3 linked regions of the Drosophila melanogaster genome follow. The protein of the gene in region 1 purifies or fractionates together with the protein of each later gene. This does not show direct contact. Each region holds a gene or a part of one and is shown in the gene's direction. Other genes may lie near its edges.

Region 1 (7,605 bases):
GAACTCCTACCAATCCTGCTTCCGCCTCTGGGGGTCCCAACTGATCCTCCTTCAGTCTATTTTCTAATCGGCGCCCTTGCATTTCAAACTCACTCGCATTTTCAGAGCCCATTTTCGCCTTCGTTAATCTCTGATGAACCCGGGTACTAACCGTTTTTTGATTATTTGTGGCCTTTACATTTTTGAATAAAATTATGATTTAACAAAGACTGAAGTGAATCGAGAAATTCTTTCTCAATATCTTTGGTTATTCCATTGCAATGTCACAACAAATTGTAGCCTATTAATCGTTCTCGAGAATAGCATTGAAAATTACGATTCTTTAATTTATTATTAACACATAACACATAGGGAATTTTTGAACGTGCAGCAGCATATGATACTTTGAATTTAGCGCCCCATTGGAGGCACTGCTTATCGATATTTTATCCAACTTTGCCCAGCCCTGGTTCGATAGGTCGGAAAGCCCTGCAATTTGCATGAAAGACACCCAAAATTACTTGTTTTTCGTTTATCCTGGGCTTAACTCGACTTAGCGTGGCTGCTAGAGGGCTTCTCCTCGTCCTTGGGCGCCTGCTCCTTCTCCGGGTTCAGCTTCCAGATGGCGTAGTTCAGAGCCGTCGCGAATCCCAGCCAGGCGACGTAGGGTACGAAGAGCAATCCAGCGGTCTTGTTCACTCGGTAGAACAGAACGCCGCAGGCGGACGCGGCGGCCGTGAGTGCAACTATGTCAATAAGGCCCTGGTGGATGAAGCGGATTAGACATAACACCTGGGCTTGGTGATATCAGCAGTACTCACGCCCTTGATGTTGTGCTGCCCGAAGAAAATGGGCGTCCACGCCCAGTTCAAGGCCAGCTGGGTGCCGTACGCGATCAGGGGCAGTTTGGCCGCCTCGCCGGCGAAGCCTCCGCCATCACGCCACACCAGGTAGGAGCCGTAGCCCATTCCCGCGTACAAGGAGATCCACATCGGCGCAAAGACCGAGTTGGGCGGCTTGAAGGACGGGAACTTAAGGTTGGCGTACCAGCTCTGGAGATGCTGCCTGGTCAGCCGCCCGTTATAGATGCCGCCCAGATTGGGCAGAATCACGGCCCCGGCGATGCGGAGAATGTTTCCAGCACACGGACGATCAGCCATTTTCAGAGTTCGCACTGCAAATGAGGCGCAGTAGTGGCGAACCTTCTGGTTTCACTGTTTTGTTTGCCGGTGATTTCATTCGAATGCACGAGTATTGCGAGTTAACGGGGCGAATACGCGACGGATGATTGTGTGGGTAAGCTCCAGCGATGCCAATTTGGCTAGATTTAAACTAGCTAAAGTATGTGGAATGCAACTTGAAATCAAAGACGCTAGAATTAATTAATAGAATCGCATGGTTATTTAGAGCTGTGAACATTTGATTTCTGCCATGAAGGAATTCTCATGTTTTTCTTTAACATGCTATCTGATTAATAGGGATTTAATATTTATCTGGAATTTTGGCAAAGCTGCAAAGTCATTGCTAAGCCGTTAATAGCTGGTTGTCACATGTGCAGGGGAGGAGCATAATGCTTATCAATAGATTCCAAAATGATGTAATGAATGAGTAATGTCGTCGATCTATGGAAGTAATTATTATAATTATATCTACCCATTCGTATTTATTTAAAATTATCTTCGCTGCTGGGTGTCGGAATCACCCTGTGGGTAGGCAGATTTAACAAAACCCGTTAAGTTTTGAAAATAGAAATAGAACTGTATTGTTGGGAAGTACCATATTAAATTCCCTGGAAAAGTTTTGTTTAGCTTGTTTGTTTGTTTTACCCCATGACAAATCGTGCGATCAAGTGGTGAATGATAACTTGAGAACTCATAAACCAAAGAGTTATTTGTCGGTAAAGTGAATTAATGGTGAAATAAAACTATTGTGCTTATTTGCTCTTTGCAATATCCAATAACCTGGATCAAGTTGGTATCTCAATTAATCAATTGCTTAGGAGCAACCATGACAACCGTTGCTAGGCAAACACATTGTTACTGTGTTTTGGCTCCTGCCAAAACAAATTCATCCACTAAAGGTGGAAAACCGGTGTGATGACTCTCTACTTTGACACGAAAATCGAGTTCTTGGACTCGGATGCAGTGAGCACCATCAGCAGCTGGCATCCCAGTGAGCCGCTCTTCGCAGTGGCCTCTTTTAGTCCCGAAAGAGGCGGTTCAGTGACCATCTTTGCAGATACCGTCAGTATTAATCGCTTTGGTCGCAGACCCTGCCAAAAATCGGAATGTATATAATCTATATAATCAAATTGCAGGGTGAGCCCCAGCGAGATGTAACTTATCCGGTGCACGCCACTTCGCAAGCGACGGCACTATGCTGGCATCCGGAGAAGGCGCTCCTGGCCAGCGGTTGGGAGCACGGCGACATCCATGTGTGGTTCGCTGGTCACAGGGAGTTTGCCAGCGTGAACGCACCGCACAAGGCGGCCATCGTCCTGCTGCAGTTCAGCGAGCAGGGCGGGCGGATGGTCACGGCGGATGCCATGGGCTTGGTCACCGGATGGCGCTGCGATGGCCAGTACCAGTTCCTAACCATGTTCTCCCACGACCTGCGGGAGGTGTTGCTGCTGATCTGCTTCCGCCTTACGGTGGAGAGTGAGGTGCGCGAGGAGATGGCCAATCTAGCCAAGGCTGCTGTGGCAGGCGATGAGAACGCCCTGGACACCCTAACCAATTGGAGACCGCGCACAGCAGCCCGGAGCATGACCCATTCGGGGGTGCGGGACAACCACTGCTTCTACGCTTGCACCCAAGGAGGAGTGGTGTACTACATCAACCAAGGAGGCGCCTGTGTCGAGGTGATGAAGTGCGGATCACTGCCTCCCATTGTCCAGATGTTGTGGCACCCAAGAAAGTAAAGAGCTGTTGAGATCGAAAGGTTCTTTACCTGAACCCTAACATTATTCCATTCTAGGGACGCCGTCATTTGCCTGATGGAGGACTTGACAGTCACCTTGTTTTTGGTTGAATCCACAGGCATCCTTACGGAGCTGGATCGTGTTAAAATGAGCGGACGTGGAGGCGGTCGGCAGGGAGGCATCGCGTGGTCTGGAAACTCTTTAGCCATCATAACAGGTAGGATATATTATTCGATTTTTCACTTCTGTGCTAAATTTAAGACTAATTTTCAGGCGATTTTTTCGTCCGCATTTGGGACATCGAGAGAAGCGACAATTACCTATTGAAAATGGACCTACCCAGTGGCAACCAGCCAGGCTCATCTATGACCACTTTAAGTAATGGCACCATGTCCTCGTCCAACCAATTCTTTAGCCATGACAGCAGCGAAAGCAGCGGCGTTCTCCGCAAGACACCAAAGTACGGCCAGCTGAACGGCGAAATGTTCACCTGCTTGGCATATAGCTCTACGGGACAGACTCTGTGTGCAGGAACGTCCCAGGGGAATGTCTATACTTGGAAGAGGAGCGGCAGCAGGCTAGTCGGTGCCCCCGAAGATGCCTGGCAGCTGACGAACATATCTTCCGTGCGAGGAGCCATCCGCAGCTGCGAATGGGGATACAATGAGCTAGCCAAGCCCTGCATGCTGGTCAACTGCCTTTCCAATGTTTTCATGCTGAAGGAGCAACCTCTGCTCGCCGTTCATACCCGCGAACTGTGGGCAGTTCAGAGGTCAGCCAAATCAGTGCAATTGACGCACTGCAGCGGTCGGGAGGCCATTGTTCAGTCCGAGTTCGCCGTGACTGCCATGGCTTTGAGTGAACTGAGCTTGGTGATGAGTAATGGCAGGAGCATATCATCCTATAGCCTGCAGAAAGTGGAGAAGAGCTTGGATGAGTTCGAGGAGATCCTGCAGACAGTGGAGGGCACAACACCGACGACGGAATCTACCACCACTCCGTTGAGTCTGAAACTCCTGCAGACCTTTGCTGCCGAATGCTTAGCCTTGAATCTGTGCAACCAGAACATATTTTGCTTGGGTAGCAGTGACGTTTTTGTTTACTCCGTGGGAGGGGTAGTGCTTCACCGCATTCAAGCAAGCGATATTGAAGGAAAGATCATTGGAATGGATTTGAGTGGCTGCTATCTCTCGGTATTTACCATGAATGGATATGTGAAAGCTTACGACGTTTCTAGGCACGATCCCAAGCTGCTCTTTCCCAGCAAATCGGGTCACGACATTTTCGATGACTTCGGGGAGTTCATTCTGGTCAAGTGCAATAGCTCCGGCAGCCACTTGGCCATGGTGATAGCCAGTAGCAATTTCACCCCTATATCCACTTTATTCTGCTGGGACTTTGAGCGCAGCAATCTTCTTGAATATGGACTACTGGAGCCAGAAACCAACGCCAAGAAGGAGTCTTCGACAAGTTTGCCGGTTCGGATTTTCTGGGATGCAGAGGAACCTCGTCTCTTGGCTACAGAAGTCAAGTCCATGATTCAGAAGACCCTGCCCCAGAAGAACTCCTTGCAACCCAGTCATTTTGTGCAGTCAAAAGTCGTCCTTTTGTTTTATTCCGAGAAAGGCTGCCTGAATGTCCTCGAAACACAATCCATGAGCCCAGGCTGCCAGCTACTGAACCTTTGTGTACCCAACGTGATCCGGCTGAAGATCAATACGATGGAGGAGCAACCTCTGCAAGACTTCGTCGACCTACAGCAGTGCAATCCAGTTACGAGGAAGCAAGTCCTGAATTTCAGTCTCTACGTCGCAGAGGGAAATATGGATATGGCTTATCGCAGCATTCGCTCGATTCAATCGAAAGTGATCTGGACAAATCTGGCTAAGATGTGCGTGCACACGAATCGCTTGGACGTGGCCAAGGTGTGCATGGGCCACTTGGAACAGGCCCGCTCCGTTCGTGCCTTACGCCAAGCGATTGAAGATGACGATCTGGAGACGGAAGCCAAGGTGGCTGTGCTGGCGATAGAACTCGGAATGATTGAGGAAGCCAAGGATCTTTATCGTCGATGCAAGCGCTTCGATTTGCTAAACAAGCTGCTCCAGTCCATTGGGCACTTGGATGAAGCAGTAGAGCTGGCCGAGGCCGAGGATCGGATTCATCTGAAGCACACGTACTATCAAAAGGCACAGGAGCTGCGAGAGAGGGGTGACATCAAGGGAGCTCTGGAGTACTTTGAAAAGACCCAGAATCCAGCGCAAAATATTACCCAACTGCTTTTGGAAAACCCTGGCGCCATGAAGCGCTACATCCAGACCACCAGCGATCCCAAGCTGCTTAAATGGTGGGGCCAGTATATTGAGAGCTCCGGCGACATGGATGCTGCTCTGGCTGTCTACCACAAGGCGGAGGACTGGTTCTCGCAGGTAAATTAGCAAGGCTTTAAGATACCACGAAACACTATACACTAACATCCTGTTCCTCTCAAGGTAAAGATACTCTGCTACCTAGGTAAGATCTCCAAGGCAGACGCGATTGCCAGGCAGTCGGGGGATCGGGCGGCCTGCTATCACTTGGCGAGGCATTACGAGAACGTGGGCAAGTTCCAGGAGGCCATTATGTTCTTTACGCGTGCCCAGACCTTCAGCAATGCGATCCGCATCTGCAAGGAGAACGACTTTCAGGAGGAACTATGGACGGTGGCCAGCTCGTCAAGGCAGAGGGACAAGGCAATTGCGGCAGCTTACTTTGAAGAGTGCGGAAACTTTAAACACGCCGTTGAACTCTACCATCGGGCCGGGATGCTCCACAAGGCCCTCGAGATGGCATTTGAGTCTCAGCAGCCAGAGATCCTGGAAATTATTGCCTCTGATCTAGCGCCCGATTCGGATGCCGAGTTGATTAACCGCTGTGCGGATTTCTTTTGCAGTATCGAGCAATTTCAGAAGGCCGTGCATCTGCTGGCCAAGACCAGACATTTGGAACGGGCATTGGGCATATGTTCCGAGAAGGGCGTACCCGTCACGGAGGAACTATCCGAGATGCTTACTCCGGAGAAGGGGGAGTTCGAGGAGGCGACTCGAGTCCACATCCTCGTACAGCTGGGCGAGTTCCTCCAGCAGCAGGGCGACTATCACAGTGCCACCAAGAAGTTCACCCAGGCTGGCGACAAAATTCGCGCCATGAAGAGTCTTTTGAAGTCGGGCAACACCGACAAAATTATTTTCTTCGCTAATATGTCGAGGCAACGTGAGGTCTACATCATGGCTGCGAACTATCTTCAAGCCTTGGACTGGCAATCGGATCCGCAAGTGCTCAAGCACATAGTCACGTTTTATACAAAGGGCCAGGCCTTTGATTCGCTGGCCAACTTTTATGCCATCTGCGCCCAGATCGAAATCGAGGAGTTCCAGGATTACGGTAAGGCTCTAACCGCCATGCAGGAAGCCTCCAAATGCCTGGAGAAGCTCAGCCACGCCCAGCACGTCTACAACAATCTGCAGCGCACGGTCGCGGATGTTAAGGCAATTCTGGAGATCCAGCAGGCGTTGCGCGAGGGGGATCACCAGCTGGTCATTGGCTCCTGCCGCAGCATGCTGAGTAAGTCGCTGGCCTAGAGTGTACTCAGCTTCCATTAATAACCTTTTGTTTTCACATTAAGTTAAACCCGAACTGCCGCCCATACGCCACGCCCATATCTTGGCCATGCTAATCCGAGCCCTGGTCTACGTCAAGGACTATTCTGAGGCGGGCAGAGCTTTGAAGGAGCTGACCGTGAAGGACAGCACGTGGAGTGCCTCGGGACTCTTGGATCGCAGCATCGTTCACAAAATTGCGCAGGAGTGCCACTTGGAGTTCGATCTCATCTGGAATGCGGGACGCCAGGTGACCGCCTCCACAAGCGGTACGGCCGCCACTGGAATGAGCAGCACTTCTGGGATGACGACTACTGATGATGACGACGCCGATGACGAGGAGATCACCGAGGAGCTGCATTAGATGATTCAATTAATAGGCGATGCAGCACCTAGTCACGTCCCAGTTCCGCAGAGCGGATAACAAGTAAATAGGCAAAAGAGTTCCCTTTAAATTGGATAAGCAATGGCTACAATGGAATGTTTCAACCAGCAGATACTAAGTTATGCTAAGATATTAAGTATTAATGATCATAAACGAAAGTATATACAATGACAGAAATCGTGGAAAGCATCTTAAAGTTCTCAATCAAAACGAACAAGTTACGTATTTGTATAACTTGTATTTGTATTTCACAAGACTGCTTAAATTTCTGCTTATATTGTATACAAATCCCTTGCTTGGGCCATTTGGAATTTTATGAATGAACTTCACGATGTACGCAAGCCTAGTAAAAGCTTTCGGTGCTGAAACATACATATGTATATGTATGTAGGTATATGACTTGGATGTGAGTTCAAGTGACCGACGTCACATCAAAGCAAATATAAACAGCGATACGGATTCGGATCGGCGGATCTGCCGGCGCCAGTCGGAAAGCAAAAGAGAGCGGCCATCCGTGAATCACTTGCCCAAAAGCGTCCGCGTCCTCAGCTATGTATGAAATCAGAGGCATTTCCAGGAAGCCAGCGAAACTCGGAACAATCGAAAGAGCAATCAGTTGGCGAACTGATATAAACTAAATCGAAAACGTCACCGACGTCAAGCAATTGGATATTTAGATCCCA
Region 2 (4,741 bases), on another chromosome or scaffold:
CCACCACAGATGGAAATGCCCAGTTCCCGACCACTGATCAGTTTAACCGCCGTTTTTTGGATTACCTCTGGTGGTCCAAAGCGTCGAAGAGGCCCTTGTGGTTCCAGAGTTGCGCGGGGGAGTGCACCTCGCCGCCAGATGCCTGCACGGACTGCTCCAGGGCGTAGATAAGGGCGCCCACTCCGCCGGTGATTGCTCCCAAGGCGCCGATCAGCTGTTCGTGATGCACACACACGCACATACAGCCGCACACAGTCACCGAGAAGCAAACGCGTTTTGAGGTTAGGTCCGATCGGGTATTATGAAATGCGAAGTGGGGGAATATGTGAGATTCCTGACTAGCTGACTTACCTTCTTGTTGCCACTGGCCCAGCTGCCGGCGGAGGAGAGGTTCTTCGCCTGCAAAAAGAACGGATGTCATTTAGTTTGGATGTTCGGCCAAGGAGAGTAAGAATTTTTGCACGGAGTTACATAATTGGATTGTTCGGTTCGTATCCGAGTTCATTTAATCCCATTGGAATTGCGGATACCACTCACTGTGCCACCTAGAGTGCACCATTGGTCCTTGTATTTTATGTTTTACGGTATTATTTCATGTTTTTCTCCATCGGACACACGACTCCTTCAAGGTGCTGCGGTGGCTGTTGAAAAACTTGCATCCGCCGTTCACGATCTTTACCTGCTGCAGGCTGAGTGCTGGCGCGGATTTCAGCAATCTCAAGCCATGGAATCTTCGCAATGTCGCTGCCATGGTGGCCGGAGTTTTAATTTCTGCGTCGTCTGGTCGTTTAAGGAAACTCTGCGGGCAGCCAATCGCCAATCGAATCAATCTTTCAGTACCACTGCCACAACGTCTTCCTCTTCTTCGCTGCTCTCTCGCGGAGGTGGTGGTGGGCAACTCGCTCGTTTGCCAGCGAATCGGAATCGGCGGGGGCGATATTTTGGTATTTTTAAACAGATATTTTAATTTTATTTTATTATTATTTTTTTATTTACTGTATGATATTTATTTATAATATGATATTAATGTATGTATAATTTAAATAATACATTTAAAATATCACTTTTTATTTTTTTCTTTTTTAATAAATATTTGTTACACAGTGTACCTTAATTGCTTTTAGTGTTTTTTTTTTCTTTCATGTTCTTTATTATATCTTCGAATTTACGGTTTTCCAACTTGTTGATTCAAAATACTTCATAATCTAATTGGAACTACTTGTTGACATTAAGTTGGATTTTTTGATTTTTTAGAAACCACTTGATGATTTCATAAGATAAGTTGACAGAACAGCTCTAAAAACAGCTGCCTTAGCCTTAGCCAAATTTTTGGTTGCTGTTATGTAATTTTTCATGTTTCACTGCGCTGTTATCACAAAAAAAGATTTTAATTTTTATTATTGAATTCTTTTCGAAATATCTATAAAATTCTTAAAAGCCTTGAAAAAGGATTTTCAAAAAGTAAAAATAAGTACAATTATCGCAGTTCACAAAATAACCTTCGATTGCTTATATCACAGGTCAATATTATAATTTTATTTTTATTTTTGCTAATTGTTTTTATATATATATTATTTAAAAAAAAATATATAAAATTATTTTGTCTCACTGATGAATAGATTTTTCCGCTGGTCTGGCATCCTTCTCGCCCGTTTTTCGCACACTTATCGATAACAGCTGACCACCCGTTAATGATTCGCCAACAAAAAAAACCTAGCAACGCATAAACAAATGCGAGAAAAAACCCCCTTTATTGATTTCCACTAAGTGCGGTCAGCGCAAATAGTGGTTAATAGCTTTCACTAGACGAGGAATAAAGCCAGGACGTAGATCGCCATGCCGCAGGAGGAGGCAAATGCGGGAACAACGGCCCAACTCGATGACGAAATCGAGAATGTGCGTGTGGTGGTGCGAACGCGACCCATGGACAAAAATGAGTTGTCCGCGGGAGCGCTAAGTGCGATTTCGGTGGATAAGATCAACCGGGCCATTACGGTGATGAAACCGAATGCCACCGCCAATGAACCGCCGAAAACGTACTACTTCGACAATGTATTCGATGGTGGCTCCAATCAAATGGATCTCTATGTGGACACCGCTCGTCCGATTGTGGACAAGGTGCTGGAGGGCTATAATGGCACCATCTTGGCCTACGGACAAACGGGCACCGGCAAGACGTATACCATGTCGGGGAATCCGGATTCGCCGCAAACAAAGGGCATCATTCCGAATGCATTTGCGCACATCTTTGGTCACATTGCTAAGGCCAAGGAGAATCAGAAGTTCCTGGTGCGCGTCAGCTACATGGAGATCTATAACGAAGAGGTGCGGGATCTACTGGGCAAGGATGTGGGCAAGAGCCTGGAGGTCAAGGAGCGACCGGACATCGGTGTCTTTGTTAAGGATCTCAGTGGCTATGTGGTGCACAACGCCGATGATCTGGAGAACATCATGCGTTTGGGTAACAAAAATCGTGCCGTGGGAGCCACCAAAATGAACCAGGAGAGCTCCCGCTCCCATGCCATTTTCTCCATTACTGTGGAGAGAAGTGAGCTGGGCGAAGGTGATGTCCAGCACGTAAGGATGGGTAAACTACAGCTGGTGGATCTCGCCGGCTCCGAAAGGCAGTCGAAGACCCAGGCCAGTGGACAGAGACTTAAAGAGGCCACCAAGATTAATCTTTCGCTATCGGTGCTGGGAAATGTGATCAGTGCTTTGGTGGATGGAAAAAGCACCCACATACCGTATCGGAACTCCAAGTTAACTCGACTTCTGCAGGACTCCCTCGGTGGTAACTCCAAGACCGTCATGTGTGCCACCATTAGTCCAGCGGATAGCAATTATATGGAAACTATATCCACACTTCGCTATGCTAGTCGTGCTAAGAATATCCAAAATCGCATGCACATCAATGAGGAACCCAAGGATGCTTTGCTTCGTCACTTTCAGGAGGAGATTGCCCGACTTCGCAAGCAATTGGAGGAGGGCGACAGCTTGGAGGAGGAGCCACCGAGCTCCGAAGAGGAGGAGGATACAGCAGATGACGAACTGGAGGCACCACTGGAGATCGAATTGGAATCATCAACGATCCAGGCTGTGGAGAAAAAACCCAAGAAGAAGCGCGAGAAAACCGATGCCGAAAAGGAGGAACTGGCCAAGCGCAAAAACGAGCATCAGAAGGAAATCGAGCATGCTAAGACGGAGCAGGAAACACTTCGCAATAAACTAGTCTCATTGGAAGGTAAAATTCTCGTTGGCGGCGAGAATCTGCTGGAGAAAGCCCAGACGCAAGAGCTGCTGCTAGAGCAATCCATTGCGGAGCTGGAACAACATGAAAAGTCCGAGGAGGCGCTGAAGCAAACTCTACAGCAAAAGGCCACCGAAAGGATTGACATTGAGGAGCGTTACTCCACGCTTCAAGATGCCAGCACTGGCATTACCAAGAAGATACACCGGGTGATGCAGATGCTGATGGGCGTGAAATCGGAGCTGGCGGATCAGCAGCAGGAGCACCAGCGCGAAAAGGAGGGCATATACGAGAATATCAGGAGCCTATCCAGGGAATTGGCCTTATGTGAGCTGGTATTAAATTCCTATGTGCCCAAGGAGTACCAATCGATGATTAATCAGTATACGCACTGGAACGAGGACATCGGCGAGTGGCAGCTGAAGTGTGTGGCCTACACGGGTAACAATATGAGGAAACACATCTCGGCGCACAAGACGAGTGGCAAGGAGCCAGATTTCCTCGATCTCTCACATGTCTATCTCAGCTACAACACCGATGGCGTGTCCAATCCAATGCGCTCCAAATCCGCCAGGCCGCGAACCTCGGGTGTGCCCAGACCGACGACTGCCAGGCGATATTGAAGCTAGTGTTGGAAGGACAATCGACTGCTAGTCCAGCTGCATGTCCTCGGCGGTCTGCGCGTCCAATTTTGGTTTCTGCTCCTGCTAATCTTGATTTTCTACAGCCTCAGATTCATTTGCTCAGCGAATTTCCTTTTTGTTAGACCTTAGTTTTTGTTGATTTATTGCTTAGGACATACTTTTTAGGTTGAACAACGGTGCAATATATTTACTACTGTGTTTGTAATTTTACTTTCTAACTTATATTTATTTTATAATACTTACAACTAAGTAGTAACAAGATTTTACCCGATTAGGCACAAATATATAACTATTGTGTGCTCTTGGCTTTTAAATAAAAATATGATACTCACACGTAATTATTTTATATTCTTACTTCAAGGAATTATGCGTAATTTCTTTTTATTTTTTAGCAGCTTGAAAGCATGCTTTAAATTTTCCGGGCTTGCTGAAGAAAACTGAAATTTGGCCGACCTACTCATAACAGGTTCCATAGTGTAGCGGTTATCACGTCTGCTTTACACGCAGAAGGTCTCCGGTTCGATCCCGGATGGAACCACGTTGACAAAAGTATATATTTTTTTAAATTCATTATATGTTTATTAATTTTTATTACGACAGAAAACATAAATTCAAGTTTTTTATTCCCACAAAATACTAAATAATACTTAAGTAAAAACAACTGATTTTTGTGTATACTATGAACACGAAAGAATTATATATAACATATTATATACTTTTGTTTGCTAAAACTCCACTTAGTAAGCGTTTAAAAAAATAAAAATAAAAAAAAGTTACTTCCTCCTGGTTCCATCCGGGATCGAACCGGAGACCTTCTGCGTGTAAAGCAGACGTGATAACCGCTACACTA
Region 3 (7,710 bases), on another chromosome or scaffold:
GCAGTTTTTACAACTGAAATCTAAGAACTCAAGTAATTGCTTTAGTTTCAAAAACTTTTTCGAGCTAGAAACACATGTAGATTATGCTTATCGTATTAATTTACTTAATTTGCAGAAAACGATCAATTATTGCTGAGCACTTTTTTTAATGCCCATAATTTCGATGATTCAACACATATTCACGGTTTGTCAAAATGTTAATTTCAGCGTTTTGGGAAACAGCTGCATCATAAGTTCCCTTAAAAACAGTGAAAACTAAGTTTATTGGACTATATTACGTTTTCTGTTTGCCTTATAGAGTGTCCACTGTATTCCCGTGCTTTGTTTTATCTAGCTTTTTTTGTTGGCAACACTGGCTGCCCAACTCTCTCCCACTCTACGCCCCTTCCTTACAACGCCATCTCTTTTTATGTTCCCTTTTAATTACAGGTGCAGAGCGGGACGGAAGACGCCGGCCAAAGGGGGAAGGGGTGCGTGGTAAGGGTGAGTGGGGGAAACTTGGCTCCAAAAGTGCGCGATCAGCATGAGAGAGTTCATTAACAGTTGCAATTGAGCCCGCGAAGCACACTGTAATTGTTGTAATTCCAATTTCCCACCCAACTTATACGCAGCTTTCCAACATTTCCATTTCGCTTACCTGTGCAGCTTGTAGATGAATAGCACCAGGAACGAAATGTAGATGAGGGCCACGAAGACCAGCGGCAGCAGAAAGGTGACAATCAGGGGGGTGAGGAAGCGATATAGCCATAGCGAATAGTCCAGATCGATGTAGGAGGCTAGAATCACAAGGTATGCAGTTGGTGGAGGGGCATTTGTTATGTATGTATGTATGTACATAGGTCAGCGGTGCGCCTTATCGGGCGCCAAATATTCGATATTACTCACACAACAGGGAGTGCAGCGTTTTGTACAGGTTCTCCAGAAATTCCATTGTCAGGCGCTGCTCCACCTCATTTGTTGTTCTTGCGCGAAAAGAGAAGCGACCGCCCACCACAACAAAAACACAAAAAAAAACGGTAGAAAAAAGAAGGGAAAATACGACAGAACAAAAAAAAAAAAAAAAAAAACAAATCGGTTTGGCCTGATTTTGTACACTTTCTTCGGCTCGCTTTGCGCTTTTCGAATTCTTTTCGCTTCCTCCTGCTTGGCGATTCTTTTAAATGGTCATCGTATAGTGCGTTTCATTTGAATCAGTATTTAGTATTTGCGCGGCTTGAAATGCATTTTATTTGCATGTTATTTGCTATTGTTATTGTTATTGTCAGTCGAGACTGTTTGCTGGTTTGTTTGTTGTGATTTTCCTAGCACAATGTAAACAATTCGCGGCGCTGCGCTCCACTCGGCTCACACGCAGTAGAGACAACCGACACCGTTCGCAGTCAGAAACATTGTGATCGCGCCGCGCTTTTTTTTGGTTAATAATACTACAAAGTAGCGATTCTTTTATTGTTGTTCCTTCATTCCATTTCGTTTGCTTTTCTGTTGCTCATCTACGTTCTTTGCACCTGGCAACGCCGGCCCAGCTGTTCTGGCTGCAGTCGTTGCCAGACTTTGGTTCTTGGCACCCAGAACAGAACAGTGATGCTCTCTTGGCTAATCACACCTGTTTCTAGCCGGTCAAGGAAGTTCGAGGAAAAACAAAGTTGTTAGTATACTGCATATTATGAATGGCAAGTTCCCAATTAGAATACAACCGCCAACTTGAATTTGAACATTCGCTTATTGGTTTGTATCGATTGAGTGCTATCGGTAATTGCCGGGTGCCGTGGCACCATCGATAGTACCGCCAGTGAGCAGACAGTTGTGCCAGCACTAGCACTTATCGACATTAAATCGGAAGTCGCATTGCAATCGCATGCAATTTGTTTTGTTATTAATTTTCCAAATAATCTCGGGCCTGGTGCTGCTGCCAATTGTGATTCACTACGTCTATTACATAATAAATGCGATTGCCGGCGATCTGTGCGAGCAGAAGAGAGCGCAAAGAGAGCAGCAGCTGCAAAGGAGCCCCACTCCGCGCCACCAAAACCGCCACCCCCCGCATCCGCCACCCACCGAAGAGGAGCCTGTGCTTTCCATAAACAATTTGACAAATTCTAGTCGCTCTCCGACAGCAGCAGCAACAACAACTGCAATGCAAACAAACGATGACGCCAAGTTTATAAAAAAGTGCGTATGTATGGGATTAGATCGTGCGTGCGTGCGTGTGTGTGTTTGTTTGTTTTCATGTGTGGGTGTACAAGTGGCCGAAGAACAAAAGAAATAGCTAAAGCACTCGTCATGCGTCAGAAAGAGAGCCACAATCACCTGGCGCTCTCTATTGATTTTCCACTTTGCGTTCACGCTTCCTCCTTTTGTTTTTTGTTATTTGCAACCGTTAATCGTTATTCGTTATTCGTTGGGTTCTTAACTTTTTTGTTCGTTTTATTAAAACAAAAGCACAAGTTAAGCCAGGCTCAAAAAAAGAATTGGATTGAAAAATCTATTACCTCATTACGCATTGAACCGCATAATTTATGATTGATCCAACAATTTGTCTCGCTCTCAATCCAAAACAAATGCAACGACAACAACAAACAAACAAACAACGAAGGAGGTGGAAAGGCGGATCCATTGAACCGCATCCCACGGATAAGGCGCTGATTGTCAACTACCAACTGGAGGCCACCGTCTTCGGGGAGCCCAACAATCCGATGATCGAGGAAAAGAAGGTAAGAACGCACGGTTACACATCGCTGCACTGGGAGAAAATGCTAGTAGATATTAGAAAATTAAAATAGGACCAGCATTATTGGTATCAAAGATGTTGATAGGGAAAGAATATAATAACAACAATATGCGAACATCTGTAACTTAGTTCTTAACTATGTTAGGTTCATAAAAAAAAAGGAAACAAAGTTGATCCTTAATCGAATAGGTTGAAAAATTGATCTAGATGTGTACACATACATATATTGCTTATTAGTTTAAATACTAGCAGTCATTGTTCTACAAAAACATCCGAATGAGTACTTAAAAAAGCTACTTCTGTTTCTTCCGGTGTGCCCCGAAAAGGGTTAAGGGGCGGGGGGCAGAAGCTGACATTGAGCGGCCCAATCGATAGCGCAACAACAACGGGGTCGATGACGGCCTGCGCTCCAAGTAGTGAGTGAAAAATGTAAAACCACAGCAACAAAAAAAAAAAGATACCCAAAAGCGGTTGGTTGGCCGGGTCTTTAACCTCAATTCACGTTTTTTGGCCGAGCGACAAGCTTATTTTTCGCCGATTGTTCACGACCATAAATATGTACTACATAAGTAAGTCTCTTATGTTTTGCTCTTGGCCATAAATATTGGCGACCAAAAAAGTTTTCAGCTTAGATGCGAAGTGGTTAATTGCCCTGAAGTGGTCCTAAACTAGTTCCTCAATCCTAATAATTACTCTATGTTTATAAATAGCAAAATAACAGCAAAAACAATTAGCCTAATAGTACATTATTTCAGTCGTTAACTAATGCATGTATTGTATTTAATCGCCCAGCACTGTCAAAAAATCATACGACTCCGTTCGCTGAACGCCAAAACGGATCCGGCTGCCTTGGCACGAGAAGTGGTGGAGAAGTGCGATCTCATCCACAAGTCCCAGCTTAATGACGTCGAGCAGATAATCTTTTATCTGAAGAATCGCAAGGATAATGCAAGCAATGGTAAGCAGTTAGATTGTTAGCAGAAATCCATACTAACACTCAGTACCCATTAGATATACCGGATAACAACACTCACAGCCGGCGATCGGCGGCGCTGCACACTTCGCACACCCGCTCCTCTGCTCGATCGCACAGCAGTGTGGCGGCCATGACCAGCAGCACCGGCAGCGGCGGAGGATCCACTGGAGCTAGCAATGGTGTCTCGAATGCCCTGAGTGCCGCCACGCCCACGGCGGATGTGTCCATAAACAATATCGATGAGTATGTGGAGCTGCTGTACGAGGAGCTGGGCGAACGCATTCGAGGCTCGGCCATGATCCTACAGATGGCGCGAAATCCCGATAATCTTGAAGAGCTGGAAAAGAATGGTAAGGATAAGTTTGCAGTTCTGTAGTTTTGAACCCAAACCCAATGTACTATTTCATCATTTTAGAAGCCTGCCTCAGCGCCTTGTCACGTGTTCTGCGCGAGGACTGGCGCAAATCCCTGGATCTCTCCACCAACATAATCTACATATTCTTCTGCTTTTCCACATACACCAAGTTTCATCCGCTCATTGTGCAATATAAGGTGGGAATAGAGTTTCTTAATTAAGTTCTAAGCACTCATTTAATCGTTGTTAATCTATTTCAGATTGGATCGCTGTGCATGGATGTGATTGACTATGAGCTGCGTCGCTACGAGACAATGAGAAATGAGCTGGACGTGCGCAAACAGCCCAATGGATCATCCACTCCACATTCGGCAAAGGCCAGCAAGGAGAAGCTGAACCGCAGCACCGACGATTTCCTGGACATCATGAACGAGGAGAAGCCCAAGGAGGTAATTTTATTTCTATAAGTTCTTGAAAAACATATCTATCGAATACTCAACAAATTCACTTTCAGATGGAGCCGCCGCGTCGTCGCATTCCGGAGCTAAAACAGCGTCCCAAGTCGGGCAATTGGAGCAGCTTTCACGGCTCCATGTCATCGTCGCTGATCAAGAGTCAGATCCTGAATAGCAGCTATCACGAGTCCCTTTGCGCCGGCGGTTCACCTGGCGGCGATACTCCGGCTGTGCCCGCTGAACAGAAGGCCCAAAGCAACGAGTCGCTGGACAGGAATGATCCCAAAGTGAAGAAGGAGGAGATCGATCGGCTGAACAAGCAGCTTAAGATCTTTGCCAAAAAGCAGGAGCAACTGTTGCGCGTGGCCTTCTACCTGCTGCTGAACATGGCCGAGAATGTTAAGCTGGAGGAGAAGATGCGCCGCAAGCATATCGTTAAGATGTTGGTCAAGGCGCTGGATAGGCAGAATATCGATCTACTCATGCTCGTCAGCACGTTCCTCAAGAAGCTATCGATTGTGGGCGACAACAAGGACGAGATGGGCGCTTTGAACATTGTGGCCAAGTTGCCACGATTGTTCCAGAGCACGCACACGGATCTGGTGCAGGTCACCTTGAAGCTGGTCTTCAATCTCTCCTTCGACGGCGGACTGCGTCGCAAGATGATCGCCGCCGGCTATCTGCCCATGCTGGTGATGTTCATCAACGATGAGAAGCATCACGGCATTGCTGTGAAAATACTGTACCACATGAGCTTGGATGACAAAGTGAAGGGCATGTTCACGCAAACGGAGTGCGTGCAAATGGCCACGGATGCCATAATCCTAAACCTCAATGTTAAAGTCGATTTGGATCTCATTGCCTTGTGCATTAATCTCTCGCTAAATCGCCGTAATGCCCAGATTATGGTGGAGGGCCAAAGATTGCATAGCCTAATGGATCGGGCCTTCAAGTACCAGGATGCCTTGCTGATGAAGCTGCTGCGCAACTTGTCGCAGCACGAGTCCCTGCAGCTGCAGTTCATCGACTATGTGGGAGATCTGGCGCGCATTTTGACCATCTGCGATGACGAGGCCTTCATAGTCGAGTGCCTCGGCATTTTGGGTAACCTGGCCCTCACCGATTTGGATTACTCGCAGATCTTGCAGAACTTCCAACTGATTCCATGGATTAGACAGATACTGCTGCCGTGCGCCAGAATGGACGACCTTGTGCTGGACACCATTGTTTACTTGGGCACCTGTGCCTGCGACGAGTTGTGTGCCCTGCTCTTCTGCCGCGCCAAAGTGGTTATATCCCTGATCGAGTTGCTTAAAGCGAAGCAGGAGGATGACGAGATTGTGCTGCAGATCATCTTTGTGTTTCAGCAAATCCTGCGACACGAAAGCACCAGGGAGTACATGATCAAAGAGACGGAATCGGCGGCCTATCTCATCGATCTGATGCACGACAAGAACGAGGAGATCCGCAAGGTGTGCGACTATTGCTTGGACATTATTGCCATAAGCGACAGCGAGTGGGCCAAGCGCATCAAGGTGAGTTGCTTGCCAGTCCAAATATGGCATATCTTAGTACAAACTTGTTTGTGTTTTCTTGTTCTCGTTGTTACATGGCAGCTGGAGAAGTTCCGCAACCACAATTCGCAGTGGCTGTGCATGGTGGAGTCGCAGCAGGACCAGGACAATGAGCAGGACTACGCCGATCAGGAGGACGAGTGCGACAATGATCTGGACACGTATCTGCGCTCCGAGTACTTGGACAATTGCGATCTCTACAACGACAATGCCGACAATGACAGCAATAGCAACAGCAACCATAGCAACAACAATCCGGCCAGCCCGGCCATGTCCACCTACAGCAGGCCACTGAGCACGTGAGTTTTGACCAAGTTTCCACTTCGATTCGAGTAATTAAGTGATAAATCACATGGTACAGCTATCGCCGCAGCCAGGATCTCGATGATTTGTACAACATGACCTCCAGTTCCAAGTCGCAGGGCTCCAGCGACAACAACTACATATTCAAGTCGAACAAATCCCTGGATGCCGATGGTCTGCACGAGGAGCTGCTGATGGCTTAAATGAGGAGAAAGGTCCTAACCCGAATCGATTGAATTTGAATTAAGATGCTTCTGCCGATTGCCCGCCCTCCCGTGTACATGTTTAGTCACTCTGCCTATTAACGACCTTCTGCTTGGATTTATTGGATATTTATATATATATATATATGTATACATATATACGACACCTTTCACGCTTGTTAGTCAAAGACGTTAAATGATTTTAGCGACGCGGCAACTTTGTACTCAAGACATTCAAAATGAGCAACGGCGCACAGACACTGGTTAGTTTAAGTTTGGTTACTTACTTATTGGTATGGTATTTTTTTGTTTGTTATTTATTAATATTTAATTTATTGAGGTCTTGTTTAAGTGCGATGTATGGCTTAGCTTCCACTTTGGTTGTTCGCAACGCAATTACTGTGCAATAATCTCTCACTTAAAGTATTACGTCGAACGTTTTTAGTTGTACTTGTTTTAGTTTACCGAACCTAAACTTTTCGTTTTCTCGAATATCTTACGAACAAAAGTCAAATTGTAATATTAAACAGTGGGCGACAAATGAAACGCCGACATAATGAAACGCCGAAGAATATAAACAAAGCTAATGTAAATGTTCACCTAGTTCGTATTGTTTTCTTTGGTTTTGTTGGCTGTTCAAAAAAAAAAAAAAAAAAGGGGTGAGTACTTTTCCCATTCCGCAGAGCTGTTTGTCTCGCCATTAAAATGCAACAATTTGAAATAATATTGGCTTTTAATTTTGTGTTACACAATAAGGAATATTAAGTTGCAGTTCGTTTCCGAAACATACTTATGACAGTGGCTAGACCGATCCGATAAACATGCATATATCTAGGTATGTATGTATGGTACGTGTATATATAAATAGAAGAATATGCTCTCTAGTTCACTTTATATATATATATATATATATATATATATATCGTGGATATCCGTAAGGCGAGGCCTTCTAGCGTTCAATGTTAAGCTTAACCTAGATATCTCCACTTCAGCTTCAGCATCGGCATCTCCCACTGATTGGTGTTCCGTTTCCACTTCGATTTGACTTGGATCGCTTCGCACATCTGCCGCAGTTTTTGCACTTAGACTATGGTTTTAACAAATTTTTACACAAAT

Evidence for each region. Proteins that work in one complex are often made in the same cells at the same time.
Region 2: the proteins of rempA (region 1) and Klp64D purify together in Drosophila melanogaster (affinity purification with western blotting, with the first as the bait; one study listed by BioGRID). This does not show direct contact.
Region 3: the proteins of rempA (region 1) and Kap3 purify together in Drosophila melanogaster (affinity purification with western blotting, with the first as the bait; one study listed by BioGRID). This does not show direct contact.

What each region holds. Positions count from the first base shown.
Region 1 is NT_033779.5:553,233-560,837, reverse strand, and holds rempA (reduced mechanoreceptor potential A), read left to right. Parts: upstream 1-1,758; 5' UTR 1,759-2,075; coding exon 2,076-2,222; intron 2,223-2,296; coding exon 2,297-2,895; intron 2,896-2,955; coding exon 2,956-3,116; intron 3,117-3,172; coding exon 3,173-5,328; intron 5,329-5,391; coding exon 5,392-6,502; intron 6,503-6,563; coding exon 6,564-6,901; 3' UTR 6,902-7,096; downstream 7,097-7,605. Other genes in the region: uncNacbeta (putative nascent polypeptide-associated complex beta subunit), read left to right, coding at 1-44; Tspo (translocator protein), read right to left, coding at 523-741, 801-1,139.
Region 2 is NT_037436.4:5,356,350-5,361,090, reverse strand, and holds Klp64D (Kinesin-like protein at 64D), read left to right. Parts: upstream 1-1,698; 5' UTR 1,699-1,836; coding exon 1,837-3,870; 3' UTR 3,871-4,227; downstream 4,228-4,741. Other genes in the region: Cyt-c1 (cytochrome c1), read right to left, coding at 66-214, 352-399, 680-751.
Region 3 is NC_004354.4:11,333,673-11,341,382, reverse strand, and holds Kap3 (kinesin associated protein 3), read left to right. Parts: upstream 1-1,794; 5' UTR 1,795-1,855; coding exon 1,856-2,169; intron 2,170-2,558; coding exon of another isoform or gene 2,559-2,593; coding exon 2,594-2,711; intron 2,712-3,520; coding exon 3,521-3,686; intron 3,687-3,739; coding exon 3,740-4,054; intron 4,055-4,119; coding exon 4,120-4,256; intron 4,257-4,319; coding exon 4,320-4,508; intron 4,509-4,573; coding exon 4,574-6,049; intron 6,050-6,130; coding exon 6,131-6,387; intron 6,388-6,449; coding exon 6,450-6,594; 3' UTR 6,595-7,196; downstream 7,197-7,710. Other genes in the region: CG34348 (uncharacterized protein), read right to left, coding at 638-776, 886-931.